Linked DNA regions of Rhinolophus ferrumequinum. The protein of the gene in region 1 purifies or fractionates together with the protein of each later gene. This does not show direct contact. Links are inferred from orthologs where the notes say so. Each region holds a gene or a part of one and is shown on either strand. Other genes may lie near its edges.

What was found.
Region 2: the proteins of CSNK2A2 (region 1) and SIN3A purify together in Homo sapiens (affinity purification with mass spectrometry; 3 studies listed by BioGRID and IntAct, with this or other methods). This does not show direct contact. The link is inferred for Rhinolophus ferrumequinum from reciprocal best matches to the Homo sapiens genes CSNK2A2 and SIN3A.
Region 3: the proteins of CSNK2A2 (region 1) and ARK2N purify together in Homo sapiens (affinity purification with mass spectrometry; 6 studies listed by BioGRID and IntAct, counting the BioPlex papers as one, with this or other methods). This does not show direct contact. The link is inferred for Rhinolophus ferrumequinum from reciprocal best matches to the Homo sapiens genes CSNK2A2 and ARK2N.
Region 4: the proteins of CSNK2A2 (region 1) and CHD4 purify together in Homo sapiens (affinity purification with mass spectrometry; 4 studies listed by BioGRID and IntAct, with this or other methods). This does not show direct contact. The link is inferred for Rhinolophus ferrumequinum from reciprocal best matches to the Homo sapiens genes CSNK2A2 and CHD4.

Annotation. Positions count from the first base shown.
Region 1 is NC_046298.1:10,605,836-10,613,217, forward strand, and holds the start of CSNK2A2 (casein kinase II subunit alpha'), read right to left. Parts: upstream 3,016-7,382; 5' UTR 2,646-3,015; coding exon 2,542-2,645; intron 1,779-2,541; coding exon 1,667-1,778; intron 1-1,666.
Region 2 is NC_046289.1:99,846,798-99,854,736, forward strand, and holds the start of SIN3A (paired amphipathic helix protein Sin3a), read right to left. Parts: upstream 3,018-7,939; 5' UTR 2,928-3,017; intron 1-2,927. UniProt on the Homo sapiens protein: Acts as a transcriptional repressor. Corepressor for REST. Interacts with MXI1 to repress MYC responsive genes and antagonize MYC oncogenic activities. Also interacts with MXD1-MAX heterodimers to repress transcription by tethering SIN3A to DNA.
Region 3 is NC_046302.1:38,048,923-38,056,774, reverse strand, and holds the start of ARK2N (protein C18orf25 homolog), read right to left. Parts: upstream 3,013-7,852; 5' UTR 2,888-3,012; intron 2,559-2,887; exon of another isoform or gene 2,272-2,558; intron 1,239-2,271; exon of another isoform or gene 1,217-1,238; intron 1-1,216. UniProt on the Homo sapiens protein: AMPK substrate important for exercise capacity and skeletal muscle function.
Region 4 is NC_046293.1:23,841,653-23,848,710, forward strand, and holds the start of CHD4 (chromodomain-helicase-DNA-binding protein 4), read right to left. Parts: upstream 3,015-7,058; 5' UTR 2,861-3,014; intron 1,978-2,860; 5' UTR 1,895-1,977; coding exon 1,795-1,894; intron 1,520-1,794; exon of another isoform or gene 1,388-1,519; intron 221-1,387; exon of another isoform or gene 91-220; intron 1-90. UniProt on the Homo sapiens protein: ATP-dependent chromatin-remodeling factor that binds and distorts nucleosomal DNA. Acts as a component of the histone deacetylase NuRD complex which participates in the remodeling of chromatin.

The DNA.
Region 1 (7,382 bases):
AGCAATGTGACACTTTCCTAAATGAATGTACTGTTACTTACGTGTACACCTGGACACTGTTCCTTTCAAAAAAGACCACAGGAAATTGCATGTATTCTAAAAACTTTAGACAATTTTCCGGATTTGCTTTAGAGTAAGCAGTTCATTCTTCTGAATGCACAGCAACAGAATACAGATATTTCTAATTTCATTTATGCCTTGCTTACTTCCTAGAAAGATTTTAAGCAGCTTATACTAAAAACATTTACACTAATGTACAAAGGAAAAAAATTGTATGATTTCCCCAGGTGGCCTCTCTGAAAGGAACATTTCTTTAAATATTTACATTTGTAAAGACCATGTGACTTTGTAAGTACCATTCATATTTAGGGAAGAGGGGAGTCAAACACCACATCTTCAACATCAGTTTCTCACTTCTTACCCCCCGTGTTTCTGACAGTACGAAGAACTTATTTCTCTCTATTGCAACTCTGCTTCTTCATCACTAGGCTTGGATGGTACTAAGAGTTGATCAGTTTTCTAAAAGGTGATTTTTCAGACAGTATAAGCTTGACCTCTCATATTAAACAGGGACACAGCTACCCTAACTCCATCCTTCAGACACAAAGTGTTTCAACCCCAAATTCTTATTCACAGAAAATTCTGTAAAATGGCCACATTGGAAATCTTGTACCTGTAGAAGTGCTTAGATTACTCTTTGGTCTTCTCAATATTTCATAAATTACATGCACACATATTAAATGATCTGGCAATGCTGAGGACACTTCACAGATTCTAATAATTACTTTTTAGGACAACCTATAAAATATGGTTAAAGCTACACAATCAGTTACCTGAGGAAAATTTAGCCAACTCTTCACGCTCATTAAGATCATGTCTTCAAAAAAAGAAAAAAGAGATCGTATCTTCATCTAAGAGACGACAAAAGGTCCAACATGCTACTCGACCAAACACTAAGACTGTTTTATTCCAATTATTATTTCAGCAGTGAAAAGTGCACTCATCTACTGCTCCCAATTTCACTTCTACTGGCTGATAATCAACAATGAACCTTCTGGCACTAGTGGCTCACTACACCTACCCACCTGAAACTTCTGTTGCCAAAGAAGAAGAAACAAGTGATTATCCACTGAGATGTTTCCCTCTACTCAGGCTGCAAACTCATCTTTGGAGCAGCTCCCATTTTTTCCAACATTCCTTCTGGGATAACTAAGGGCACCAAGAGTAACCAAATAGTGCTCAAGGAGCCCTTGGAATGATGGATCTTCATGGAAAGGCTATTCTTTCTTCTGAACACCTACTTACTTTGTAACAAGTGGAGCCCCCTCAGAATATTCACTTTGGGAGCTGTAATTATTAGATTAGTGCAAAATTGCGGTTTTTGCAAGTATTTGTAACCTTTTAAATCGCAATTACTTTTGCACCAACCTAATACATTTCCAACAAGGATGCTGCCGAGCGATCCTGCCTCAATTTGAAACAGGTCCGCGTATTTTCTTGAAAGTTCACAGGAAAATAGGGTGGGAGGAGTAGTGGGGGTACATCAGACAGAAGATACGTAAAATGGGAGCTTGAATTGCTCATTCTAGAATGTGGCTGGGGTAATTTGTATCCTTCTGACCTGTGGAGGGGGTAAAAAATGTAATGCCACTCGTAAGACACTCACCTTGAGAATTTTTACCACCACTCTCTCATTGTTGGTGATGTTAATGGCCTCAAACACTTCACTATACTTCCCCCGACCAAGTTTTCGAACCAGTTGGTAATCTTCTTGATTACTGTAAAAGGCAAGAGAGAAACATCAATGCCAGGAGTTGGGATTAACCAAGCCTATGCTCACTCTACATCCCCATCCAGCTACTTCTATAAACCAAGCACTTGGACATGTGTATCCATCACGCCACAACTCATTTCCCTAAAAGAACGCCACAACATAAACTTGGCTCCTTTCACTCTGCTCAGAGCTCCTCACCTAATTGGTCCCTGGTAACTTGTGGAGATGAAGGAGGAAGGCACTGCTCGGTGCCAATCTAGACGGGGGAGCAAAGCATCTACCCCGGAGGCTCCGAGGGCAGCCCTCTGCCCGGCGCGCCGCGACACCTGCCTTCTATTTCACACCCTTAAGACAGCGCCAGCTTTGAGTATCTGGACGTCTTTTAAAAATTTCCTCCCACCCAGCCTCATTTCAAAAAAAACTAAAAAAGCAGAAAATTCGAATAGCTCAAGAGGACAGCTGCTGATTTCCCACCCCAATAAAAAGCCAAACGTGTGAGAAGGGCTGCTCCCTCCCTTCCACCAGGCCCTGGACCCAACACTTCTCCCCAGAGAGAAAGCATTCCTTGGGGTCCGGGGGGGGGGGCACGGCAGGGAGAGGGAGACAAGGGCAAGGCTCTGCCTCCCACCCCAGATCCGAGGACACGCCGGACCAGCAGAGGGGCCCGCGGGCAGCCAGACCGCCCGGGGGCGAGTGCGGTTTGCGCCGGGGAGCGGCCGGGCGGGGTGGGGGGGAGAGGACCCGGCGGGGGACGGCGGCTGCTTTACCCCCAGCTCGGGATGTGAGCCTCATAGTCCCAGTACTCGCGGCTCCTCAGGCTGTTCACCTCGGCGTAGACCCGGGCCCTGCTGCCCGCGGCCGGGCCGGGCATGGCGGGCGGGACCGGGGAGCGCCGCGGGGCGCCGAGGGCGGCCGCGCGGCGAGGGGCGCGGGGCGGCGGCCGGAGCAGGCGGCGGGCCGCGGGGCGCCGGAGGAGGAGGAGGAGCGCGGCGGCGGGCGGCCACGCCAGGCCGAGCCCGCGGGGGCGGGCGGGCTGGGGGCGCGGGGGGCGCCGGCCGAGCCGGCCCGGCCCTGGAGCGGCCGGCGGGGCGGTGGGGCGGGCGGCGCTCACGCTCCGCGGCGGCCTCCGCTGGGCTCGCGGCCCCAAGGCGGCGGCGGCGGCGGCGGCAGCACCAGCAGCGGCAGCCGCCGGCCGGGAAAGGGGCAGCAGCGACGGCAGCGACCAGGAGGAGGAGAAGAAGGAGGAGGAGGAGGAGGGAACCCGGAAAAGGGCCGCGCTCACTAGGAGCGGCCACCGCCCGGCCCGGGGCCGCCCAGGCTCACAGCGCCCCCTGCAGCGCGGGGGGACCCGCCGTGCGGTGCTGGTCCCGCCCTCGGCCCCGCCCCCGGCTCCCGCCGCCCAGACCCCCACTTTTAAAGCTCTCCACCCTCAGTCTGGCGGGACGAGCTCACAGGGCCTCCCCCACCCACAGATTGCTGCCTAAGAGCCTCACCCCTCGTATACCCTTTCAGGACTGTCCTGGAGACGCCTGTCCTAAGCCCTCCACCCTGTAGTCGTCCAGAGCTTACTCACCCCGACCTCCCTACTGAACGGACCCTGTGCTGACCTCCTGTCACCCAAACTGTTCCCATCAAGTCCCTCTCCGATGATGACTCGCTCTTATCACTCAGAACCTCCCCACCTCAAGATTTCTCCATCCCTCCCAGAGACACCCCCTCTTCCCGGTTGGATCCTGCCCAGTCACCCATCGTTTCCTCCAACACGACTCCTCTCTTCATCCAGAGCCTTCCTCAAAAAATCCTTCTCTTACACTTTACCCCAGATTTTTCTTCCAGAGCCTTGTCTAAGACCCCTCTGAATGTTCAGTTCCATCACTTGGTCAAGCTGGAGTCAGCCAGGTTGCTTCTTGTCAAGTTCCTATTTTTCCCTTTGTAATTAAAAAGCGATTTATGGGGAGACACTGGAGACCATGTAAATACCCTGATTTTTGTGGGGGAGGATGAAGAGCAGGGGAAGAATTGTGAGAGTCCCATGAAGGGACAAGCTGGAGGTTGTGCATGGACTGAGAGCAGGATGGGCAACCCAACTTTGGCCTATATTATTATGTTGTCTCCTAGCCGTTAAAATTCTTCTCTCTTTGATCTTATGGGGCTTTCTGTGGTCTTGTGTTCCCATTCTAAATCCTTTATCAACAGAACTTCCATACTCAGCCTGGGTTGCTCTGACTCCAGTTATTTTCCACATTCTGTTTTCTTGCTTTTCCTGCTTCCTCCTTCTTGACATAGTTTAGAGTAGAGATCGTGGAGTCAGATCCATCCAGGTTTGAATTTCAGCTCTACCACTTACAGGCTGTGTGACCTTGGGTCAATGACTTAACCTCTCTGTGCTGTGGATTTTATGGCATAAAAACAGGAATGGCACCTACTTCCCAAGGTTATGGGGAGAATTAGACAAGGTAAACCGTACAAAACACTTAGAACAGGGTCTAGCAGATACCAAATGCACAATATTATTATTACAAGACCAGAGCCTTTCTTTTATCGCTTTTCCCTCCCTGAGACCACCAGAAGCCCATCTTTTGGTTCCTTCCAACTCCAAGCTTGACCACTTCCACCACCTCCACTCCTACCTTCCCATGCCTGACTCCTTATTCCTTTTCAAGTCTCACCTTTAAGTTCACTTTAAATGTTAGAGTTGATACTTCTCTATCTCAGCACCCTATCCATATCCTGAAGACAAGAGCATATTTTGTAATTATTTACTTGTTTCCTAGATTATTGTCTGTCTCCTCCGCAGTAAAAACAGCATGAGAGCAAGGACTGGATCTGGATGCTCACCTCTGGCTCCCCCAGAATTTGCCACAGTTGGAGACTTTCAAAACAGTCTTACAGTGTTACCCACTTATCAATTCCAAAAGGGAACCTGGAGGTCCCCACTTTAACCATAAATCAAACTTACCATCAGTAAGGGACCTCTGGCCTTCTGATGTGATATATCGAGAAGGGACATGACATCTGACGAAAATGCCTAACTTGAATCTCATCACAAGGACCCAATCAGACAAATCCAAACTGGGGGACATTCTACAAACCATCTAGCCTGGACTATTAAAAAAAATATCAATGTCACAAGAGAAAACAAATCTCTGAAGTAGTGTCTTTGATTGAAGGAGCCTGACAGATATGACTAAAAGAAGTGTATAATTCTGGATTTAATCCTGGATGAGAAAGGCAGGAAGGGAGGGCAAGAAGGAGGAAAAAGGGGAAGTAGAAAGAATACAGCTAAAAAGACACTATTGGTATTACTGGGGGAATTTGAATAGAATACGCCTATTACATGATAGTTGTCCATGTTAAATGTTGTGTGAGGGTTCTCTTGTGGTTATGCAGGATAATCTCTTGATCTTAAGAGTTACATGCCAAACGTTTAGGGAAGAAGTATCATAGTATCTTGCAGCTTACTCTATTGGTTCTACAGAAAAACATGTGTTCCTGCCTGACAGCACAGGCATACGTGGGGAGAGGGATGCATTTAGGGATAAATGTTGACAAGTGGAAAACGTAGTTACAGACTACATGAGTTTGCAACTTTTTGGCAGATTTGAAGATTTTTCAAAATAAAAAATGGAAGAAAACAAAGCATTTGTAGAATAAGTGGACTTTGGAATTTAATTCCCAAACCTGCAAACCTCTCAAATCTCTCGCACACACAGTCTCAAGGTTTTAACGAGCCTTAGGATTTCTTTCTGACAAGTCCCTGTGAACTAGTCTAGCCCAGAGGTTCTTAATACTGAGCTCTTGGATGAGCTTTCTGGGTTCCAGGAACCCCCAACACTGTGCAAAATTTGTGGATGTGTGTGTGTGTGTGTGGGTGGGTGGGTGGGTGCATTCTTTACTTAGGATCCATCAAATTCTCAAAGGAGGCCATGACCCAAAAATGGTTCCAAACCACTGGTCTAACTACTAGGTCCAACCCCAGCCAGGGCCCCATTCCTCACCATCACCCTCGCCCACCTCTGCCTCCATCTACCCTCCCTGCACCTTCCTTTCATCCTCACCACCTAACCCACACCCATCTCACGCAACCTGCTCCCACACCTGCCGTGATGCCTAAGGATTCACCCACACGTCACTCTGGTACAACAGGCTCCTGGATTTAGCTGACACTTCGTTAATTCAGCCCTGAAATCCACTGGCAGTCCTCCCACGGCCAAATGGAGTGTGTTTTTATGGTTTGTTGGTAGGTAGGTTGGTTGGGCACCCCATGAAATTGGAGGAGACCCACTTCCTAGTCTTCCTTCCAGCCCTCCATGAGTGTACTTGGCGTGAATTAAGATGGGCAATTGGAGATGGCACCAATGCCACCCTCACTGAAGGAGGAAGTCTCAGTGGCCTATGGAGAGGAATAGGCCGACGGCTCTGCAGGAGTGGGTGACAGGGCAGGGAGGTTCAGTGAACCCGAATCGACTTCCCCTAATTATTCTGGGTGTATTCTGTGTGTAGGGTGATTATAATTTAGGGTTACATAAGGGGGATAAAAGAGGGCATCGTGAGTCAAATAGCCCAACAATTTTATGCCCCCAAAGTCTATCCAAACACCCCCCCAAAACAAAACAAAACAAAACTTTTAAATTCTCAGAAGAATACTTTCTATCTTCATAAGGCCCACTTTCAAAACTGTTTGAGAGGTTTCTGGGCTTTTATCCTGTATTGCTGGTTCTAAGAACCTAGACTAAGAAAATAACGTTGATTATGACCAAAGAATTATTAACAGAGGTGACAATTTGTGTGTTCAGTATCATTGAAACCTGCAAACACCCTGAGGCTGAAACCCATTGAATTTACACTTTAAATGAGTGAATTATATGGTATGTGAATTGTATCTCAAGGGAGCTGTTTTAAAAATTCTATGAAAAAATAAAAAAATAAAAAGGCTGTTCGTTTCCAACAACAACAACAACAAATTCCATGAGATTGGAGCTATTGCAAGGATCCCCGTTCTGCAGTTGAGGACATTGAGACTCTAATGCCACGGATAATTGAGGTGGAGCTGGATTTGAACTCAGGTCTTTCTGACCACTCAGTCCATTTCCTGAATCCCTTTCTGACTCAATACACACCCCCAAAGACCCAAAGACATTCATCATAAAAATCATCATCTTTAATCATAAAAATGTAAAACAACTTAAATATCCCTTATTGGGACCAGTTAGATAAATTGTGTTATGTACCTATAGCGAACTATTAGGCATCATTAAAAATTATGATTATCAGGAATTTTTGGTGATGAGAAAAAGCTTATTATATAAGGTTTTTTAATAAGTGGGTTTTTTTTTGAAAGTTACACAAGTAATAGTGGTAAGCGGAATAATACCACCCTCCCCGCCTTGTTCCCCAAAGATACCTGTTTCCTAATCTCTGTAACCTGTGAATACATGAATATGTTCCTTACATGGAAAAAGAGACCACAGTTGTGATCAAATTAGGGATTTTGAGATGGAGAGATTACTCTGGATTGCCCAGATGTGTTTAATATAATCACAAGGGTCCTTATAAGAGAAAGAGGGAGACAGGAGAGTCAGAGAAGTAGACGTGATGATGGAAGCAG
Region 2 (7,939 bases), on another chromosome or scaffold:
GCCCTGGCAAGCCTCCGGAAGGCGGAGCGTGAAGCGTAAGGCACTTGCGATTTCCAGGGAGGCATCTTCAGACTCGAAGAACTGAGGAAGGGGGTCAAACAGGCCATGGCATACATAAACCTTCACCCCACACTTCAGAGAAAGGATAAAAATTCGAGTTGGGGACAAAAAATAGTAAGAACGGCTGTTCACCTTCTCCTCGGCCGAATATTAATGGCAGAACATAGACCCTCTTTGTATAGGTTTTAGTGCCTCGAACACACAAAGTGGTTGCAGTGCCTAGGTTGCTTTTATTTATTCACCAGATAGAGCGAACTGACCCTGTCCTTGCTTTGGAGGGCGCTCACGGAGCGCCAGGAGAGGAGGGGGCGGGACTAGAGTTTTCCCGCTCTCCAGCAAAAAGGCCCAGTCCACAAGTGGCAGGCCCCAGGGAATCTCGGTCCTCCTATCTTGTCCTCCCTACGCAAAGCGGAGACGCAGAAGCCAGCGCTGGCAACAGGTGGGCCTGACTGCAAGGGTGGCTTCCAGCCGCAAGGACAAGGCAGCTAACTGTGAACCCCACGAGCAGCCGACAAATGGGAGCAGCCTTGCCGGGAGCCAAGCCCTGCCCCAGGACAGAACTCTAAAAATAAGTAATACCAACTAAAGCGAACCCCGGGCCAAATCCCCCGGAGGTTTCGAAGGACTGGCGCTTCTGCAGAACAGACCAGGGGCTACCTTTAACTCTGGGTCGTCTCCACTCCCTGGACTGGGTGCACCACGGCGCTCCCACCTCATATCAAGAACCACTGCGAACCCAAGCAGGATTCGGCCACCGCGCCTCCTCCCCCTCTCCCCCCCCCTTGGCCTCCTGACTTCTCTGTCAACAAGGGATGAGTTGCCCTGGATCCAGCCTAAGGCATCCAGGCCAATCCTAGATTGCTTAGTTTTAGATAAAGCCAGCTAAGGACAGCGGTTGCCTTGCTCTGGTAAGAAAACACACTGTCAGCGTCCGTAGCGTTCTCAAGCTTGAGCTCAGGGCGATCTTTGGGAAGTCAAGGGGCGCGGGAATAGCCAGGCCGCAGTCAGAACTTTAGTACTCGGCCCGGCAGGACAGATACCACCCCCTGCAGAACACAAAGCTCTAAGCCCCTAAAATACACTCCACACCCTCAACCCCTAACTTCATCGCAAAGGCTACTAGATCTCGAGCCTTGGAGGATCATTGTTATCTCGGCTCTCCCCGCCCCGCCTCGCCAAAGGCTCCAAGTCCGGTACTTCCGGGCGGGAGGACAGTTCGAAGAAGCAAGGCGGGTCTCACACGTGTGCCTACAGCTCATACAACCCGGGAAGGGGGCGGGAGGCAGGGGTGGACTTCCCCCTCCAAGCTCGCTACGCCGGAGGCGGGACGACATCCCACCAATCAGAAGTAGGGGCGGAACCTTGCGTGTCTCGTAAGCCGCAGGAATCCTCCCTCCGCCCTTCACGGAAAAAAATCCTAGCAACTTAAACTCCAGCCCGGCCTCCGATAGGCGGAACTCGGGAGAATGTCATCCAATAGATAACCGAGAAGAATAAAAGGGAGCCGCGCCCAACCAGTGGAAGACAAGAGAAGGCGGGCCCTCTAGAAGAGTCCAAGGTGGGTGGAAGACAGGAAAAGCTCCGCCCCCCAGTTCTCCGCGCCAGTTGCACAAGCCGTCGTCGGAGTAGATACGTAGTAAACAGGATAGGCCAAGCAGTGGATGACGGAGCGGCCGGGCGCTCTGGGGGCTCGGGCCCCTACTCCTCGCCCGGAGGCGTTCCGACTGACGGCAGCGGTTCGCGCCGGAGCCCCACCTCCCAGCCCGCGGCCGCCATCCCGGCTGACAGGCGCGCCCCTCCCCTCCCGCTGATGCATTTCCTTTTCCCGAGTCCGAGCGTGGAGACTGTTTTCCCAGTTTCCGACCTTCACTGCCCCTTTCAGGCCACCCCCTCGTGGGCGCGCTCGCACGCCCGCGCCCCCGCCCCCGCCGCCTTGGAGTGGGCGGGGAGGGAAGCAGCTCCTTGTTTGTGGGATCAGCTGTAGCAAGGGTCGAAGCCGCCGAGTTGCTGGAGCTTTTCCACACCGCCGGGCCGAGTTCCGCGCGGGCTCGCGGCCTGACTGGTTCATGGGCCGAAGGCCGGCTCTACCACCACGGCCCACGAATTCGGAACGCCTAGACCTACGCGAGGGGCTCTTTCCGGTGGCCTCCCCGCCCCCGGCCGCCCCTCCTGCCAGGCCTGCGTTTCCCCGCCCCCAGAGTCCATAACAACCGCGGGCCCGCGGCGCCCGCGCCTCCCCGGAGCGCGCCCACCGCCCCTTCCGACAAGTTTGCGGATAGAAACGAAACCCTCGGGGCGGCTGCCGCACTCGCCCGGCGTGGTTAGCGGAGAAAGCTGCGGGCCTCAGCTCGCTCGCGAACTCCAGCTCTCGACCCACTCAGCTTCGGAGGGCTCAGGCCGCTGCCCCCTGCCGAGCCCGCGCGCCGCAGCTCCGGTCCGGTTCCAGTCGGTGTGCGGAGTCCTTTTTTTTTCCCCCTTCACAATAATTTTTTTTAAGGCGTTTCAGAAGCATAGGGAGATCCTCTCCTGCCCGCCCCCTTACCCAGTCCGCCACAGCAACCTACCGAAACTGACTGCTCGGTGAAATAAACTAGGCAGCACGGTCAGCGTACTGGCTACCCCGGGCCGGGCCGACCCCCTCCCCACGGAGCCCCCTCGGCTGGGAAACACTGGCGAGCGGGCGGCGCCAAGAGCTCTCCTTCCTGGCCTGCCCCTTGCCTTCCTCGGACTCCGAGCCTGCCCAAGCTCCGTCTCGGGGCCCGCGGCGCCCGCACTGTGTCGGACCGGCCAAAGCGACCGCCCGGCGAACTAGCCCCCCAAACGGCGGAGATTGGGGAGACCAAATTAAAAGCAGCTGTTTAACATACCTTGCGAGCCAGGCGAGGAGTCCTGAATGGGGGGAACGCCCCCCACGGACCATTGGCTCCCAAGCGCTCGCGTCAGTCACCATCGGCCCGCCTCCTCCCCTCGCCCCACCTCTTTCCTTCATTGAACTCCCCCTCCCTCCAACAAATATATATATAGATAAATTAACCGTGCGTGGGAGGCGCATCTGTGGGAGAGGACCCTATCTCTCCAGCACCGCTGCCTCGAGATTCTTGAGGCTCTTGGACTGGAGGGAGACCTTCTAGGACTTGATCCACAGGGTGGGCTGGGAGGAGGAGCCAGTGAGGGTACCCCGCCCCCACTTCCTACACACACACACACACACACACACACACACACACACACACACACACACACACACACACACACAGGCACGCACGCACGCACGCACGCGCGGTACGTGGGGGGGTAGAAGGAGGCTATAGAGACACCCTAGCGACTGGCTGGAATGTCTCAACTCCCCTGGCGGTGTAACCTAACCGTGTATGGCCCATTCTGTTAGGCGCCTGCCTTAAAAATGAACTGTGTAAGCGGTAAGTCCTGTGTTAAGGGCAACAGGCACTTGTCTGAGCACTTACCGTGGGTGAGGCGGACACATTCATGTCGCACCCGCTGCTGGGTGCGATTACAGAGAATAGGCTGCTCACGGTGTACCTTACCAGGGCTCCAGACCCGGCTGAGGAGATGCTACAGAAGAGCTAAAGCAAGGCAGAAATGTATGTATAGATATCTTAGATATCTTAGATATCTTATCATAGGAGCTCAGAGCAGGGAGATTTTTTTCCTAGCTGGAGAAAACTGGGAAAGTCTTATGGAAGAGGTGGCATTCAAGTTGGGTCTTAATGATTTCATCAGGCAGAAATGGAGGGGCGAGTCATTTTCAACAACAGGCACCAAAGAGTAAATGCAAGACACTGTTAAAGGCCTCCCAGTGTGGTTGTAGTCATGAAAGTCAGGGTTGGAAAGATGGAACCAAATGGCAGAAAACTTTAATACCTGGTTAAAATTCTTGGACTTGCACAGTACAATGTGCAAGCAGCATGGTCACATGACTACAGGCTCAGAACTGTGGTGTAAGATGCTCAGCATCCCAGCAGCTGAGGGTGGGTTGAGTGAGGGGTGCCTACAGGCAGCAAGGTAAGGCACAAAGGCTGTTGTAATACTGGGTTTGGAGATTGCAGAGGTACATCTTCTGGTGGGAGAGGTAAATGGGGGGAGTCAAGAGGTTTCTTTTGTCTCTCCCAGCCACCCAATCCTGAAAGCCTTCAGTAGACCTCAAGTCATAGCTCTGATTCAGATTCTTCCTTGAATCATTTGCAGTGTTTGTCTTAACTTCCAAAAGGAGTTTCTGGGGGGCAAGGCTCAACAGAGCTGAGCCTGAGGCCAGGACACGCAATGAGTGAAGACCTATTAAAGAAAGGAAGTGTAGATGAGATGGTGTGTGCAGCATGTGAGAGCCTTAGAGTCCTGTGGTCAAAATGGGGGCTGCTGTCCGTTAGGCTGTCCCAACATTTCAGGTGAGCTGTAATATGGACTTGACCAGGACAGTGGCAATCGGTAAGCAAGGCTGTTTCAGTGTGGGTAGTGGAGGGAAAGGGGTCAGCGTCCTGCTGTGTGAAGAGGGAGAAGAGCTTGAGGCTACTGGTTAGGTAATCTGGGTTCTAGATTTAGCGTGGTCAGTAACTGGTGATACATCCTTTGGCAAGTCCCTTCCTCCCTCTGGGCCTGTTTCCCCAACTCGGAAAATGGGGATGGAAAATGGAGTTGAAAGACAGGCTCAAAGAACCCTTCCCCACTGAAAGTTCATGGGGCTGGGGGTCGGATGGGGAGGGAAGTTTGACACTGAGAGGGGGAAGGTGGGAAGAATTACTGATTAGGGAAGGGCAGTGTGTCCTAAAGTGGGGACTAAAATTTGGGTGGTAGCTTGGTGGAATCATTGAGGGAAAAGGTATGGAAGGGGAAAGGCCAGGAGCTGAGGACTGTGTATTCAGTGGGAGGCCCAGCACCTGGCAGGGCCACGGAGGTTGAAGTCCATTCTCAGACTGGGGGCTCCCTAGGGTGAGAACCAATTTTGACTATATCAGAACAGAGATCCCCCTGATATCTGGGGCCCTGTCTCAGATTCCTGCTCTATTTCCCAAGAAGCTGTGACCTAGATGAAGGCCTAACAGATACCGTGTGAATGTGAGATGAGACAGAGTGGTAGAGCAGAAAGAACATTAGAAGTTGAGTCCCATGGTTCCCACTTAGTCTCTCATCTGTGGCTCACCCTCCTGTGCTGTACAAGAAGATAACATAGCAATCCTTGCTCCGTTATGAAGATCAAATGGAATGATATTTAATACACCTCGTGAGGTTCTGAGCTTCTGTGGAGGCCAAAGGCCCAAGCACTTGACTGTAAGCCTGGACAGCACATGGTGTACTGTGGATGAAGTTACTTAGGGAGTATTTACAACTAGAATAGTTAATCCCACTCAATATAACCAGATTTTGCTGACATTCCCTACCTTCTGTGTGCACCACCCTGGTGGAAATCCCCTCTAGAAACCCCCCTGGATTGTGTACCTGTAGGACAACCACTAATTCACCTCGGAGCCCCCAGTGCCCAGCAGTCAGGCAAAGGAGGCCCCTTGGAAAGGAGACAGCAATTGTTTCTGACTCAGTACACTGATGCCTGCATAGCAGTGAGGACCAGGCTCTGGGAAAGCATTTGATTTGGCGACATGAGCCCTCCAGCTGCACCTAAGTTTGCATCCACCCTACCTATGCCCTACACTGTCAGTGAGGACAAACCAGCGAGTGGATGTGGGTGAGGGCCTTCCTTGGAGAGGTCACACTGAGAAGCCAGGTTCTGAGTCCCAGGAGGCCTCCTTTGTGTGAGTTAGGGATTACTATCCTATTTGTAGTTGAGCAAACTGAGGGTCAGAGTAGTAGAGTGACTTGTTCAAGTCAAGTAGCCAAGACTGTCTGGGCCCAAAGCCTGAGCTTTATCCATTCCCCCATATGTTGTCTGTACACACTAGGCCCGTGACCAGGCTGAGGTGTCTGGAGGAAAACAGCCTCCCCTCTTGCTCTACCCTTCTGAACTCTAAAAGTAGTTTGTTCCCAGATCATTCCAAATGATTTCTGGCCCTTCCACAAATATTATCCTTGAAGAAGCAAGATCTGTCTTCCAAGCACATACAGTGTCTTCAGCTCACATATACTCAAAACTGTCACACCTTCAGTCACCATGCCTCACACGTCTCTCTCTCTCTCTCTCTCTCTCTCTCTCACACAGTCATTCACAGAAAGGATTCAGTTCTTTAGGGTGCTTATGGTAGGTGGCTGAGATGTTGAGGCCTGCACGTCAGTGATTGTAAAAAGGGTGTCACTGCCAGTGCCCTGCTGACAGAGCCTCTGCCAGCTATAGACCATTGCCAATTTGGGAATATCCAGATGAGGGGCATGAGGCTTGGTCCCCACCCCCAACCCAAAGCATCCTATAGGTACGTTCAAGGGGAAAAGCTCAAGCTATTGGTCAAAATCCATTTAGCCACTTCCTAGCTGGATGTCTTTGGCAAGTCATTTATCTTTTCAATCTTCTTGTCTGTAAACTAAGTATTCCTACAGCATTGGGCTGTTGGGAGATTAAAGTATGCCTGGCATTTAGTCAAGTTCTCAGACCTTTTCTTCTTAATCCTATGGCCGGGCCACTGAAATGCGACGCCTCTCCCTGGTGCTGCAGTCTGAGGAGCCAGGACAGGCAGAAGGACCCACTGTGTGAAGAAACTCCATTTTTCAGGCTTAGGGTGTACATATTCTATGCTTCTGCTTTCCGGATAGCTTTGGAGGCTTGGAATCTTGTAGTGGGTTTGGAGATTGCCATTCACTGCCTTGAAACGTCTTCCCCTCACTGAGCATTAACTTACCCCTCTGGGCCACTTCTAGCCCAAATCTAGAAAGTAGATAAAACACTATGTTCCCCAGTTTACCTGACTTTGTTTTCAAAGTGTTTCCTTTTGTGTATCAGCTAATTTTATTGTAAAGCACCAGGTTCCTTTGTTCCAATGAAACAGTAATCAGAGGCCTGGCACATGAGAGAAAAGGGGGGCCATATTCGGTTGGCGACAGCCCCAGCTGCCTGCTGCCTCTTCCTTCACCTCCCACGCATGCCCCTTCTGTCAGTCCCTGCCCCAAGGGCCACTCTTGAACCTAGTTCCCAATCCCATTCATTCATCCCAGCCACTCCCCTCTCACCAGACTATGAGAACACAGCCTGGCCTTGTCCTTGGTTACCTCTATCTATTAATCAATCTTTCACCGGCTTTTCTTCCTCCTTCCTCCCCTAAATGTTGGTGGCTCCCAAGAGTTTCTTCTCTTCTTGCCCTCCTCCTTCTCTGCTCTCACCCACTTCCAAGGATCCTAGCTTCTATCTAAATTAAGTCTCCAATTGACATCTTCCAACACAGAATCTGCCTTGAACATCAGACTCCATACATCCACTGGCTGCTGGCCACAGAATAGGTATTAAAGGTCAAGGAAGGAAAACAGAGACCCCACAGGATAAAGTGGCTGATCTGGGCTCAGCTGCACATCTGGCCAGTCATGAGGTTTGGACAACATTAGCTTAGGGAAGTTGCCAGGTTCTGGTGTTTGTGTGTGTGTGTGTGTGTGTGTGTGTGTGTGGGTGGGTGGGTGGGTGGGAGTGGGGGGAGGGGGAGACGGAAGTGAACCTGGAGTGGGGGAGGGGCACTGTGCCTTTTTTGACAGTTTTCTCTCTACATCTCACTGTCTTGATTTCCTACTTTCATTTCATCAGTCCTAACAACTATCAGGAACACATTACCCTAAATTGTTGAAAAAGAATCAGTGTTCCTAGTCTCCACCTAACACTCCTAGCCTAGCTAGGACTCTGGTGTAGTTAGCTATGGCCATGCTGGCCTTAGCCGGAAAAAAATTCGGGTGTTGCAGATTAGCTTAAACTGAAGGAAGGATTTTAGGAACACTATGG
Region 3 (7,852 bases), on another chromosome or scaffold:
TTACAAAGGTCGAAGATAATTTACCAAAGTTACAAATGTAGAGTTTGGGTCTCTAATTCATAATGGTTCCAAACTTAAAAAAAAAAAAATCCTTATTACCCATACATCAAGTCTATTCATGCACACATCAAAACAAAACCATAAGATTGAAGATCCCAGCAAAACAACCCCTTGAATAATGAGTGACTACAGAAGCTCCCAAAAGTTATTCATCATACAGTAAGGAGACTTAAGGTACTAATGAAAATAGAAACCTTTGAAGGTCACACATTGAGCACTCAGTTCTAACAGAACTGCATTAAATTAGAATCTAAAGCTGAACCTATCTTAATATATGGGTCTTGGATAAATCATGAAGACTGTAAAACAAAGTATTATGACACTTGCTCTTTCATAAACGCATTTAAGAATAATATAAACTGAATTAGTGAGGAATGTCTACACTGTGAACTTAATATGGTGCTAATAAGGGAAAAAGTTTGTAGCTCCAAAATCCAGTCCCTCCCCTTTTCCACAAAAAGATGTCAGAAAACAAAAATTTTCCATTAAGAAATCATATTTAGCTGACGCCTACGTATAATTACCTTGAAGTTTCTCCCTTCCTTTCGTATTGTATACCTGTATGTGAAGTTTACACCTATATCTTAACATTACAAAAAAGAGATGGTTTGAAGCGTTAAGATTGCAAGTGGTATTTAAGAGTAGTCTGAAGGAACCTGATTTAGAAATGTTTAAAAACATTTTCAATTCTCATTTAATGGAATTGCATGAAATTTCACGGAGGCTCTTTTTAAAGGAGCATACAGGTTATCACAGTAAATTCCATCCTAGTTTTCTCAATTCAAATTGAATTCATAATTTTTGTATTTACTGAGCAGATAGCACTCAACTAGGCATTGTATTAGTCAGATTACTCCGCCAAAATATTACACTTCCTATTAAAAAACGGTTCGCTTTGTGACTCCCCAGGACATCAGGTAATAACTATCCATTGTAGGCCTCTAAAAATGCTTGTTAAACCAAAAGGCAATGCTTACTGGAGGAATCCTGATTGCCAGGATCAGCAAAACGACATTAAAAAGTTAATAGACTCCGTCCTTAAAATATCCCAGGAGAAGAAAAGGAGTGATTCAAACTGTTAGCAGGTGCCCAACGACACTGCACAACAATAGCCTAAGCAAAACTGCCAGAGGTATTTGTAATGAAGAGGTCCAACCTTGACAAAGCATCGTGCAGTGGGGTTTTCATCCTACTAGATGGAAGGATTCAGAAAGCAAACACTCAGGCAAGCAGCGAAAAGCGCCTCCGAGGATAAAGTGCTCAAGCGGCTCCGTCTCGGAGAACGCGTCCAGCGGTTCACGCCATCCAGCTGCGAGCATCTATCCTGCGACAGCGGCGAGGACGACTTAACAGGCCGAAGGAATGACGCGCGGTTCTGTTGGGGGCAAAGGCTCCAACGACACACAGAGGTGGGCGCTGTGAGAAATAAAGCACGAAGCGCTCCTGGGGACAAGAAGAGAACTCTGGGGACAGTCCGAGAAGACGACGGTCTGGAACTTGGAGGTTCGTCCATTTCCATCCTCGCCGGTTTTCCGAATAAAGTGGGCAAACTCACCAGAAGCGGTCAATTTTGAGGACGGACGCATCCCTGCCCTTGACCGGAGGCGACCGCCGACCGAACGTGGTGGAAGCGCAGAGAGGCCGGCGGCGCCGAGCCCGAGAAAGCGCTTCCTCCCTCCCCGAGGCCAGCGCGGCCGCCTGGGCTCTCGGGAGTCGGGGCAGCTGTCGGCGCCAGACCCGACCCGGGCGGGCAGAGCCGCCGCGGCCGCTTCCCCCGCGGGCCCGGGCGCCGGAAAGTTGCGTGAAGGCAACTCCAGGGCCGCGAGGCCGCCCCCCGCGCGCCCCACAGACTGCGGCACCTCCCGCGTCCTCTCAGCCCCGGGTCCCAGCGCTCCGGGGAGGCGAAGGGGCCTCGGCCCGCCAAGCCGGCCGGGTCAGGAGGACAAGAGGGTCACCAGCGGGCGGGCGGGCGGGCGGGCGGGCGACCCCCGTCGTTGGCCCCCACGCGAGCCGCGCCTCCCGCCAAGTCCGGGCGCTCACGGCCGGCGAGCGCCAGCCGGGCCCGTCACGACGCCAGCGCCCGGACGCTGCGGAGCTCTCCCCCGCGGCCCGCACCCCTCCGACTCCACTCCACCCGGGCCCGACAAGCAGCCCGGGTGCCGCTGAGCGACCCGTAGCCAGGCCGCGGCCCCGCGCCCCTGCCCGCCTCACCTGCGCTCCGCGGCGGCTCCGCACCTCCTCGCCGGCTCCGCGCGCCCCGTCGGGGCACGCACCGACCCCCGGGCCGGGACTCTCCTAGCCGCGGTCACTCGGGACGCGACGGCCACCGTCGCCTGCTCCTGCTCGGCACAAGCCCCAGCGGCGAGCAGAGGGTCGCGGTCAGAGCCCCGCCGAGGCTAAAGGGAATCTCGCCGCCTCCGCAGGCTCTACGACCAAGTCCCTTCACTCGTCCGCGCCGCCCGGAGAAAATGTCACCAGAGGCCGTTCCGCTCGGCGCCTCACTTCCGCCCGGAACCACCGAGCCCGCACCGAGTCAGCTAGAGCGGCCGCTGCGGCGAGAGCCTCTAGGGGCTGGAGAGGGAGGCCGATGGAAAGCCACACAGCGCCCTCTGGCGGAGGGAACCCGCGCTCCTCTCACTGCAGGGTGCCCGGCGAACGGGCACCGGCTGGCTTCCCGGGCTTCTTTCCCGCGCTCCCTCCTTCTGATCAGGCAGCTCCGTTCCAGAAATACCTTTCTCCAGAGTCAGAAAGCCGGTCAATGCAAGCCAAGGACAATGCCCTGAGAAAAGGACGGCGCTCCCTTTCCCGGGCGCTGCTCAGTACTCACCCTACCTGAAGCCTTCCCGAATGAAGCTCGTAGTGTCCGAATGCTCGAGTCACTCCATTAGGGATGCGCAGCCTTCTCTCCTCACTTTTTCGCGGATGCCCAGCGCTTGGCTCTGGGAGACTCGGTCATGCAACTCATGCAATGGCATCAACATCCCGTAAGTTTCTGGAATGGAACCTTGCAGGCCTCGCAGATAGACCGCCACCTGCTGGTGAGACGGGGTGGGCCAGGGACACCCCGCTCCGCCCTTGTGCGCGTTGCAGACGCCCCAAATTCCACCTATGCAGCGTCACTCCCCTGACTGGCAGTTCACCTTGGGAAGGGTGACACACCGGTGCACTCTATGAGTTTTCGAGGCCCTTCCTTGAGGCCCAGGGTCTGGGGAAACGTGCTGGACGCAGGACCCGGCGGGAAGGTGAAGTGGGCACACGCCACTTGGTGGGGTACAGGGCTTCCGAAGGCTGGAAGATGAGGTGCTGAGAACACACCTCTCTACTCAAGATCTGGCCAAGAGGCTGTGCTCTCTAAAAGCAGGGTTTTGATAAATAAATAAATAAATAAATAAATAAGGGCTTGGGAAGAAAATGTTAAAGATCTTGACCTTTTCAGGAGCCATGCGGGGACCTGGGGTGACACTCCCCAAGAGGAAATTCTGAAAATCACAGCGCTGGCGCCACTCAGCCCTTAAAATCAGTCTCCCCTTTTTAAATCAGGCCCTTCAGCTCCCCCCAGTTCACTCATTTAGGCTGACTGCCTACAAGCATGGGCATCCCTGACTAAATAAATAAATTGATAAAATAATTTTATAGTAATAGCTAACTTTCATTGAATGCCTACTATATGCCAGGCACTGTACTATGCATTTAAATGGATTCATTTATTTAATCCTCTCAACAAACCTATGAGTTTGGTGGTATTATTAGCCCCAAATGACAAAGGTGAAAATGAGACACAAAGTAGGAAAGTGACTTGCCCCAGGTCACACGTCACAATAAGTGTCAAGATTGGATTACCACACAGACAGCCCAACCCTAGAGGCTGCTTTCTCAATCACTACCACCAACTGCCTCTTTGAAATTAACTGAGATCATACCGCATACCATCTACACATTTTGTCTATGTAGGTTATTTCGCTCATTCATTCACTTATGCATATATTTCCCTGCTACTTTAGTCCTCAAGGAATTTGAGAGCCTGTGTAATAGTGACAAGAGTCTAAGCTCTTTCAGGAGAAAAAGAGAATAGAAAAGAACTACTAAGATCATAGCTGTCAGTCTTGGAATGAATTAATTAATGTGGACTAATACATTCAGTTTTTGTTTTTGCCTTTGTTTTTTAATTTTATTGGGGAACAGTGTGTTTTCTCTAGGGCTCATCAGCTCCAGTCGTTTACCTTCAATCTAGTTGTGGAGGGCGCAGCTCAGCTCCAAGTCCAGAGCCATTTTCAATCTTTAGTCGCAGGGGGCACAGCCCTCCATCCCATGTGGGAATTGAACCGGCAACCTTGTTCCGAGCTCGCGCTCTAACCAACTTGAGCCATCTGGCCGCCCTACATTCAGTTTTAAAATAACTCCTTGACAGTCTTATCTGGTCAATACTGTAGAAATACTGAAGTAGGACCCTGACTACTGAGGTACCATCTTGGCTCCTTTTCCTGTTTGATATCAAGTCAATTCCCTACGGTGAGTGGACTCTACATATTTTTGGAGGCTAGAGCATTTGATATCCTAATTACTATTATCCCTATTACTGCCATATTTAGATTGCCAATAAGGCAATTGCTTTCTTCTTCCTCTCTATAGGAGCATGAAGGGCTGAGGAGATGATCCTGCTGCCGCCTTAGATTTATCTCCTAGAATCTCCTGTGCATCACATACTCAGCTCTCCCAACTCCTGAAATCCCATTTCCATAAAACCAGCCCAGCCCAGACACCACCCGTATCACCAGCACCTTTACCAACTCCCTCTATCCCATGGCCGCTACAGAAATTTCTATTAAGAATACTCTGCTCACAGACATTGTCCTATCGACATGTGCACCCCTTGGCCTCTCTGCAGTGTTACTACTGAATCATATCAGCGGTTCTCTCAACTTCTGTCCTAAGCCCTACAGGCCCAGGTCAAGCCCATCAGCATCATTGTTTGCATCTGATGCACCTGCAGGGCTGGGCCTGCAGCAGATGCTATTAGAAGTGGTGGACTAACCGGTAGCATCAGAGTGAGTTGCCCCTGCTTTGACTATTCTGTATACTCTGTTCCCTCCTGATGGAGCAGGTTACTATAAGGCAGCTGAATGGGGGATGGAGGCACGGATAACCTTCTCTGCACTGAGATGGCCACGTATGCTCAGACAAGTCACCTCTTCCAGAGTTAACATTACCGGCTTGGCCTCAGAGCATCCGTTATTCCACAGAATTTAATCACGTCTCCATATGAAAGGCCACCCAGAGCATTCTAAGGATTCCAAATAGCAGAAGGTGACCTGGCCATCAGGACCAGGGGCTCTGGAGTCCAACAGATCTGAATTTGGATCTGGTTCTGCCTCACTTCTGTAACCTCGCAGAGCCTCAGCGTTCTCCTGTGTCAAACACAGGTGATCCCTGATACTGCTGTGGACGGAAGACATGTTCAGACCTGAGGAGAACTTTCATGAGTTTACGTGAGCCAAACTGAGGACAATTGCCGGGAAGCACAATCTCAACAGATTAAGAAAATTCTCTGGAGAATGGCTGTTTTGCAGCTTATTTTATACATTAGAATCAAAGGAAGAGACATAAGGAGGGTTACATGAAATCCATTGGGGGTAGATTAATTGCCGCGATGGTCAGATATAGCTGAGTGAACATATCCGAAATTTTTACACATAAAAATAATGTCATTTATACACAAAGCAGCTCAAATTGTTATTATTAAATGCATAAAATAGTCAAAATATCAACTTTTTGTTTATTTTTGGATTTCTGACACATTTTGAAAAAAAAACCTTGAAATCAATTAACACAGCAAAAGAGCTAAGGGGGTGGGAGAAAGCAGAGCAGGAAAATCTCTGGGATTGGATAAAAAGTAAAATGGAGAGATGCATACTTCTCTTACATTGGTGGGTATAGGATAGTTAATAATTAACACTTTACAGCACATAGAGATGGTGTTCCGGGTACAAGATAACAGTGAGGGGTTCTATAGTCTGTCTGCTCTGGTGCTGGTGGGTTGTGCCTTCAGGGGTCCAGAAAAAGGAAGTACTCTGACATTCCAGGGCATGCTATCTTAGATGCAAAAAAGACAATAGACAGGCTGACTTAAGGTAAACATTGACCTTTGTCAAGGAAGCTACAGGCCAAGGATGTGACTACCTGCCATGATCCACTCTTAGTTAGGAATTACTATGTTCACACCATTCTATGTGGTTAATTTCAGTCTCTGAGTTTGTAGGGCCTGCCATGCTGGCCTCCCCCGAGTTTGTCACGTTTAGTATGTGGCCCCTTTTTTATCCACACTACCTTGTAGGATCTTGTGAGGAGTGAGGGTGAAATGAGTCAAATGTGTAAAGCTCTCAGGCCAGCTCTTGGCTTAGAAAACACTCTATAAAAAGGACCACTGTTCTGATGGCCGACACGCCAAGCCAGCACCTCCAACAGGCACAGACTCACACTGGTCAGTACAGTGGCACTGCCATCTCAACTGAGTCATTTTTCAAGAGCAACAGGTCATGTGGAACCAGAACAGAGCAGGACAGAAGGATGTCATGAACGTGGAGCCACGTGGTGGCTGAGGGTTGGTGAGGCAGAAAAAGGGTTAATAAAAGTGAGCCTGAAGGAAGACTGCCCAGGCCTGTATCCCCTCCCCAGGAACTGCCCAGGCTTTAGAAATAAATCAAGATGTCCAAACACCCTTAGAAAAAAGAAAGAAGACCCTAACCAGAGTAAGTTGGTTCTTGATGCCTACACAAACTGCTGGAACCTGTCCGTTATTTGAACTCTAGCCTCATTATAATACAATGAAAATAAAATGAACGTTAAGGCTTGCCCCCCACCCTGCGGGTTTTTCTGTAAGAAATGGGTAAGAGCATGCACAGAAAGAAAACTAATTATATAACCAACATATGCCAATCAAATGACCTCAGTCTATACGTCACATCTCCTGCTGTAAGGAACTGCACCTACCCTCTCCTATATCAGAAAAAGCTAACCTAAAGTGAGGTGCAGTTTTCTAAGACTCTGCCCCTGCAGCCCCTCCTGCCGCCCCCGCCGGTGTTTCTCTCCTTACTGCCTGGGACAGGCTGGCTTCTTTAAACACGGACAATGTCTGTCTGCCTGACCTTCAGTAAAACTTCCCTTGCTCTCCTCATTTCAGGTTGAGTCTGTGAATTCCTTCACCTTTTGCAAATGAACAGCGGTTAATTCCAACGACACAAGGGTGAGTGAGAGAGACGCCTCCCTCAGCTCCCTCCATTCTCTGGGATGGATAATCCAAGCTCCTCCATCTTGGGCTCCAAGTTCTTTCCAGCCACGGGATCCCCCTGACACCCCTTCTCTATGTAAAGTCTGTAACTTCTAATAAAAACTAGAAATAAAAGCAAAGGACAGCTTAAAATTTTTCAACAAGTATATATTATTGGTCTTTCATCTTTCAATGAAAAAAATAGCTCTATGACACAGCATCAGACCTTGGGGGACCTCCGGGGTAGGCGGGGTGAGGGCTCCTCTGACACCCCATTTAAACTAGCACGCCCACAGCCCATCACAGCATTGTTTGTTCCCTTCCCAACACTGGCCCTCCTGAGTACCTGTTGTGCGTATTCTTCTTTCTCATCCATCTGACACCCCAGACCATAGGACACGGGTTGTTCTGCTCTGCGGTACACGGATGTGAATGGAGGAAGTCCGTCTAAGCATCTGGGTGGGAAGACACAGAAACCTGAAAGGATGTCAAAACAAGGAAGTGGTGCAGGTGCCAAATAGGTGAGAG
Region 4 (7,058 bases), on another chromosome or scaffold:
GAATGGAACACCAGCCTGGATCTCACCAGAAAGAATCATTTTCTTTAAGGGCTTTGCCCCAACAATCCCATGTTGCCCTCCCCCCCCCGCCCCAGTCAGCTACAACTCTGGGTTCTTCCTCTTCACCACCTCCACAAACGCTGGACGTGGACACAAGGACAAACCCAGGGAGGCAGAGGAGACACCCTCCCATCCACTGAAGACCCCCCAAACTTCTCAGGTAAGCGGCAAACTGGCTAAAATACGATAGAGGATTTGGGAAAGGGGTAAGAATGGGGTGTGGCAAGTGGAAAAACTGGGTCATACTACAGCTTGGGACAGAGTTCACCTGTGGAGCCCATACAGCTCCTAATCCACACAGGGGCAGCCCCAGACCAAGGGGCCAGTGGGAAGCGAAGACGGGCAACCAGCATTGGCTCGGTGGCACTACTACTTCGCATGCCCCTCAGCAAGGACAGGCTCACCACCACCCCACAACCACCCTGGGCAACATTACACAAACCGGCTACCCTGCCCTGTACACTGAGGAAACTCAAACCTAAGTTTCTTATCCCAACAGCTGAAGACTCAGTAAAAAGACTGAACCCTCTCCTAAGTGGCCTCAAGGTTGACATAAAGACTTCCAACTTAGAAAATGCCAAATGGGGAAACATTTCTCTCCCAGACCACCTCAACTTGCCACTAGAGCTGAGAGAAAAGGCAAAAGTAAAAGATGTTCCATGGGAAACAAAAACAGGACCAGCAGTCTCCAGAATGAAAAGAAAAATATAGAGGGGATAAAGAGATGGCCCGTAGACAAAATGAAGCTAGGAAAAAAAGGTCAAGGAAACAAGTAGGTGACTTAGCCGGGGTCTCTGAAGGACAGATAGATGAAAGAGACATCTACTTAGAAGCATGACCTCAATTATCATTTGGGGGTAAACAAGGGCTACTCCAATCAGACGGAGTGGTTATAACCATACGGGTTTGGCCAGTTCAAGGAGCCACCCCAAAACAGACAGCACAACCCCCAACACCACCTACACAAACACTTTACACCACCAGCCCAAACCCCAGGCTACCTGCACAGCAGAAGAGAAGCCTCTAGGAAAAAAAAGCGGGGATTATGTCCACTTGCCAAGGGAGGAGGGTGCCCAGGGTGTCACCTCCCTTCTTTTACCCCTCCTAGCATTTCGTCCAGGTTATTACATCCTACCCCTAAGCCCCATCATTTCGCCGCTCAAAACATTCCAGCCACCTGCCTGGCTAAAAGCTCTCCAGATCCCAGCTAAGGAGCGCAATTCAAACTTCACACAGTTGAAACAGCGCAGAAAACCGGTAACGGATCAGAAGCTAAAAATAATCAGATAGAGAGTAACCACCACTCCCTCTTTCCTTTCCACAGCAGCAACCCCAGAATCCTAACCAGCACAGATGTGGAGCTGGTCTGTTTAAAACAGCAATCTTCAAGCCCCTACCTTCCACCACCACAGCCTCCAGGGGTCCCAGCTACCTGCATTCCTCCAAGGACCCACACGAGGTAAGGCCTGCCAGCCCAAAGAGCTCCCTCAACTGGGAACTGCATAGCATTCCTTAAGACAGTGCAGAAAGCTTGCATTTGGGTCCTCGGAGCCCAGAAGGCACATGGCTTCCACCCCCTCCCACAAGAGCTCTGCAGAGGGGAACCACTCCCTTCGGATGCCCTCCACTTCAGACTCTGCAGAGAGAGACAGAAACTCAGCCCTGCCTCACTAGAGTCACTCGTGAGGGCCCAAAAGCCTCCTTCCTGCACTGAGCCTTAGGGGAAGATGTTACCTGGGTGGGGTGGGGGCAGGCTGTTGTTCAAAAGTGCATCCATATCCTCCTCCTCGCTGCCAGCAGAGCAGGGGGACGGGGAGCCCAGGCCCGACGCCATCCCCTTCCGCTCCGCTCACGGCCAGGGAATTGGCCCAGCTGCTCCTGCCTGCGGCCTGGGGCCCTCTACACTGGCCCGAGTCACTGTGCGGGGGAGGGGGGGGAAAGAGAGAACAGTCAGTGACGCGCAGTCCCCCTCCCCCACCCCCACCCGCTCTTTCCGCCCACCACCACCACCACCACCACCACCACCGGCCCCCCCCACCACAGCCACCCTAGTGGGGCACCCGAACCACTCAGGCTGAACTTAGTTCCACACTCCTCGGGGACAGCCCGGAAGCTGGTTACCCCACTGGAGCCCCCCAGATGAGAGGCAGCGACGCCCCCGAGGGCAGGCTGGTGCAGCCGTGGGGAGCGAGGGGGGGAAGCCCAGCTGGACCGAACGGGGTGTGACTGGGGGGAGGAGGGTCCGAGTGGCCGCAGCGCGGGGGGGGGCCACGGGAGGCGGCCGGCGGCGAGGCGCTCGGGGACACAAGGTCACTTGGGGGTGGGGGGGCACCTCCCTGCGCCTGGGGAGGGGCCAGTGCCCAGACAGGGCAGCTCTCCAAAGGCTGTCCTCTGGGACAACTCAGGTTCTCCCAAGGAGCCGCAGGGACGAGGGGGCGTGGAGGTTCGGGCGCTCCGGGGGGCTGCAGGCAGGAACTTACGGGTCACAGGGCTCCCACCCGGTAGGGGGTCGGGCCACGTGTCCCGGGGGGCAAGTGAGCAGAGGGTGTGGGGGCGGGCGCCGGGCATTGTGGGAGACCAAGCCCGAGGTGGGAGTCGCGGGGAGCCAGACTGACTGGGTTGGGGTGGGAGGAAGGGGGCTAGACACCCAGCAGGGAAGAGAGAGGAAGGGTCGGCTCCTCCGGGCAGGGGGCCGTCCGCGGGTCGGAGGACGCCTGAGAAAGGGGCGGGTGGAAGGATGACCCTCGGGGCTGGCCGGGCTGAGAGGGGCGTCTCTTTGGGAACCCCGCGCTCTCCTCACCCCGGAGCTGCCGCAGGTCGCGCAGGGTCCGGCCCGGTGTCACTCCCGCTTCGGCTCCTCCTCGCCGCGGCCGAAGGGGGGAAAATGGCTCCGGCTCCGGCGTCGCCTCTTAAAGGGCCCGAAACACCGGCCGGGAAATCCCACCGCACAGGCCCCGCCCCCCACGGACAGCCCATAATAACCTCAACCAACTCCAACCCCCCTCCACTACCGCCACCCTCCTCCCTAGGTCTCCCGGGCAACCCCCGCCCCCTCGTCGCTCTGGCAACCATTGGCCACGCCCCCTTCGAGCGCGCGCGCGCGTCACCCGGGCAACCACCCACCTCCTGGCCATCCCATAATACACATGGACACCCCCCCCAACACACACACTCATACACACATATATGCCAGAGCTGTTGACATCTTATAATATTGCAGACCTTCTGCAACTAACCCTTCCCCCCCCACATCCCATAATAGCCATCCTTTGCCAACTTCTTCACTCTTGGCCCTAATGCTAACATCCCATAATAATTCGTCACCTCTCCCTCCCCGTGGCCATCCCATAATAAGCACCCCACCCAGCACTTCAGCCTCACATCCCATAATACTCATCCCCATCCCCCACAGACATCCCATAATAACCACTCTGCATCCACCCCCAGTTTGATATCCCATAATAGTCAGAAACTCACCCCCCCCACCACCACACACACACTGCAACAACGGACACTTGGGCCTCCTCCCACACACATCCCGTAATAATCAGTCTCCCACTTTCTATACTGACATCCCATAATAATCAACCCCCTGGAGCTGCCCTCAACCCCTGCAGGCTAGGGTCTAGATCCTCTCACCACCACCCTCAGCCTTCACACACTCAATATATTTCCACAGCCCATAATACCGTGTTTCCCCAAAAATAAGACCTAACCAGAAGATAAGCCCTACCATGATTTTTCAGGATGACATCCCCTGAACATAAGCCCTGATACGTCTTTTGGAGCAAAAATTAATATAAGACCCAGTCTTATTTTCAGGAAAACACGGTAAGCACTCTTCCCCATCAAAGAGATATCCCATAATGATCTGCAGTTTTGTCACCCTACAGACATCTAATCTCCTTTTCTCTAATACTGGAAAGGTATTCCATAATTTTTACTCCCCACCCATAACCTGACATCCCATAATAACTTCAAGGAGTCCATAGTCAACCAAACATACCATAATATTCCCAGCACAACCCACTACCACATCCCATAATGCTTCATCTCCACTCCACCACCTCTATACCTTTCCAGCCAGGCATCCCATACTATTCATACCTCCCCCATCTCCAGATGCTGTCAATGTATTCTAACACTTAGAGCAGCCAGGGTGAAAACAAGCTACGTACACTGCCCTGTCCCTGCCTCAACTTGTACACACCTTTATCCCTTTCTGGACCAAAGCAGTATCCTAGCATAAAGCCTCTTGATGTCTATGAGAGACCCTACCTTTCCAGATACTCAGGAACTGCCAGTCAACCTAGGTCCCTACTAAAGTCCACCAAACTTCAGGTTTCTCCGGACACTTACCTCCAGCTCTTAAGTTTTGAGTAAGACCAACCAAATACCATGCTGGCCGGATGAGCCATTTACATGTTTACATTCACCCCAAGCGAATTTAATTCACCCCAAGTGAAAGTTTAATTCACCCCAAGCATCCCATAATAATTACAAACTCCCATCTAAAGACTATTTCTCAAAATTCCAGCAGCCCTCTCCCCACCCACCCCATCTCCTGAGTTAGGTGCTCCATTCATCAACACCCCTATTGCACTCTGATGGATGAACATCCATCCCATCATGATGGGATGAGGATCCTGCTATATACATACAAACAGACAATACCTGCTCTCCCTCTACTCACTGCTACTCACATTCATTCAATAGATGTTGACAGAATACCTAGCAAGGCACAGAGCTGGGCACCATGGGGAATGCAAGGGCCATAAGTTCCTCCTTCCAAGAAGTATAAATCAAACTATGAGGCCAGATAGAATGTCTGGTGTCAAGTGAGAAGAACTAAGTGTTAGTTCCCAATTTCCTGTTACAGAGAATGAAACAAATCCCAGGAGAGATCGCACTCCAGTAGACGTTCTTGGTGGTCTTTCCAGAGGCTAGAAGGTATTCCAAAACAGATGGATAGTCAAGATAATCTATCTGTTCCCTACATACTAAAGGATTTTGATTGGAAAGCAATGTTCATGCATCCAGCATTTCTAATACTGAAATTCTGTATCATCATGTGCTTCCTTCTTGAGAGATTTATCAGCATGCCAGAATTATTATCCTCATTCTTGAACACCAAATTCTGCTTACCCTCAATGTCCCATATGTTTCAGCCAGTTTCTCATTTTGTGTCCTGAAGTCTCATAATACTTTCAACTGCTCCCATCCTCATCGCATGGAGGCCCTATTCCCCACTCCCCTCCAAAAAAACCTTTGTTGTATAATATTTACCATCTTCCCCTCCCCGTGTACAAGTCAACATTCTAGGATGCCTTCGTCATTCAATTATGCCACAAGGTAGCGTCCCAACATATCCATTCCCTTCCCTAACTGTGCCTACCCTGCAGGCACACGGGGACTGAGCCTGAGAAAGCTGGAGAGTGCCGTCTTAAAACTCTTTGGCCCTCAGAGAACCTGAGCCCACAGGTCTGTCACTTTTCCCTTTCCATGAGTGAAAACTAATGTCCCAGCACCACTGCCTTGCTGCCCCTTGGCCCCCAAGCCAGAGGTAATGTCTTCCTCCGCTCTCATGTGCCTTTTTCACACAAGTCCAAGACCTATGGCAGTGGGACAGGTTGAAGAGAAACCGGAACTTCCTCCTAGGAGGGGCCCTTCCTGACCAGAAGTGAGTGGGACGAACCTCATACCATCTCTGCATTGCCCTTCTGATCTCACTTCTCTAGAGAAAGAGCCTGACCAGATGATTCTCCCCTCCTCTAGGAGCCACAGAACTGGAGAACTGGCAAGGAAGAATGAGTTCAGGAGAGGCAAAGCTTGCTTCAGGAAATCAGTATCCCTTTGCTTCCAAGCAGACCACCAGTGATGCTGATGAGTCTTCCCACCAGCTCCTGCCCAGCTTAACTCCCTGGTCCACGCTTTTGCCACATCCATTGTGGTGTGCAGGCTGTAGCTCCTACTTTGCAAAGCTGCGGTCTTCCTCATTAACTTCTCTTGACTTCAAGATTGGGCCCCATTTATTTATGCAAACCCTCCTCCATGATTATTCTGCATACCAACAATGAGCCTTGTGTTCTTCACCTGGAGGAGAGGAGGCAGCTCTTTTAAGATACCATAATGTGGGCATACCTCCTTTCAAGAAGATTCCCCTATATAGAGCCATCAGACACCAATTCTGTCCTCCTCCCTCCCCATTTCTCTAGGGGATGCAGCCTGCCTCTGGGCCTCATATTCCCTTCTGTAATATCTCTATCGGCTCCTTTTCTTCTCATATATATTACCACATTACTACAGTGATTCGTAATACAAACCAGGAAGAGTTTTACAACTGGGTAGTCACAGCCTCTTGCCTATAATGGCAAACACTGATACCTGTTGTGCACCACAGCCCTCTGCCTCATCCCTGCAGGTTCTACCCACTTACCCCCTTGCCTCTCTTACTCTCCACCTCTCCCTAACACCACAAGGAGAAGGCTAAAGTCCCTTCCTCTCTTCTTGAGTTCCAGAGAGGGCTAGGATGTGTGTGTTTGTGTGTTGCTTTTGTGGTCTTTATGTATCCATGCTCCCCCTCCCTACCCTGGCCCCATGCTATCCTCCCAGATAAATTATAAATAAACCACTAGCATGATTGGTCCACAGAGACTAAGGGTGGGATAATCTCCTGATTAATGCACCCAGGGGGGACAGCCTCTCTAGCCGGTTACCTTAGAATTTTGTTTCTAGCCCATGGTACATAAGAACCTAGAATAACACTCAGAGTGGTTGTCCTTGGAGTTTTCAGCACATGTTCTGTAATTCCTCTCTCTACATCTCTGTTCTGTGTGAGCCCTAGAAACTCTGTAAGAGGTCTAAATGACCAGTGTTATCCTGATCTGTTAGAATAAGGGGTTTGGGGAAGACAACATAAAAAAGAAAAGCCACAGTGACAGTGCACTCTGATGGCTAGACAGGATGCAGGTAGTGCAGGGTTTGGGGGGTGATGGGCC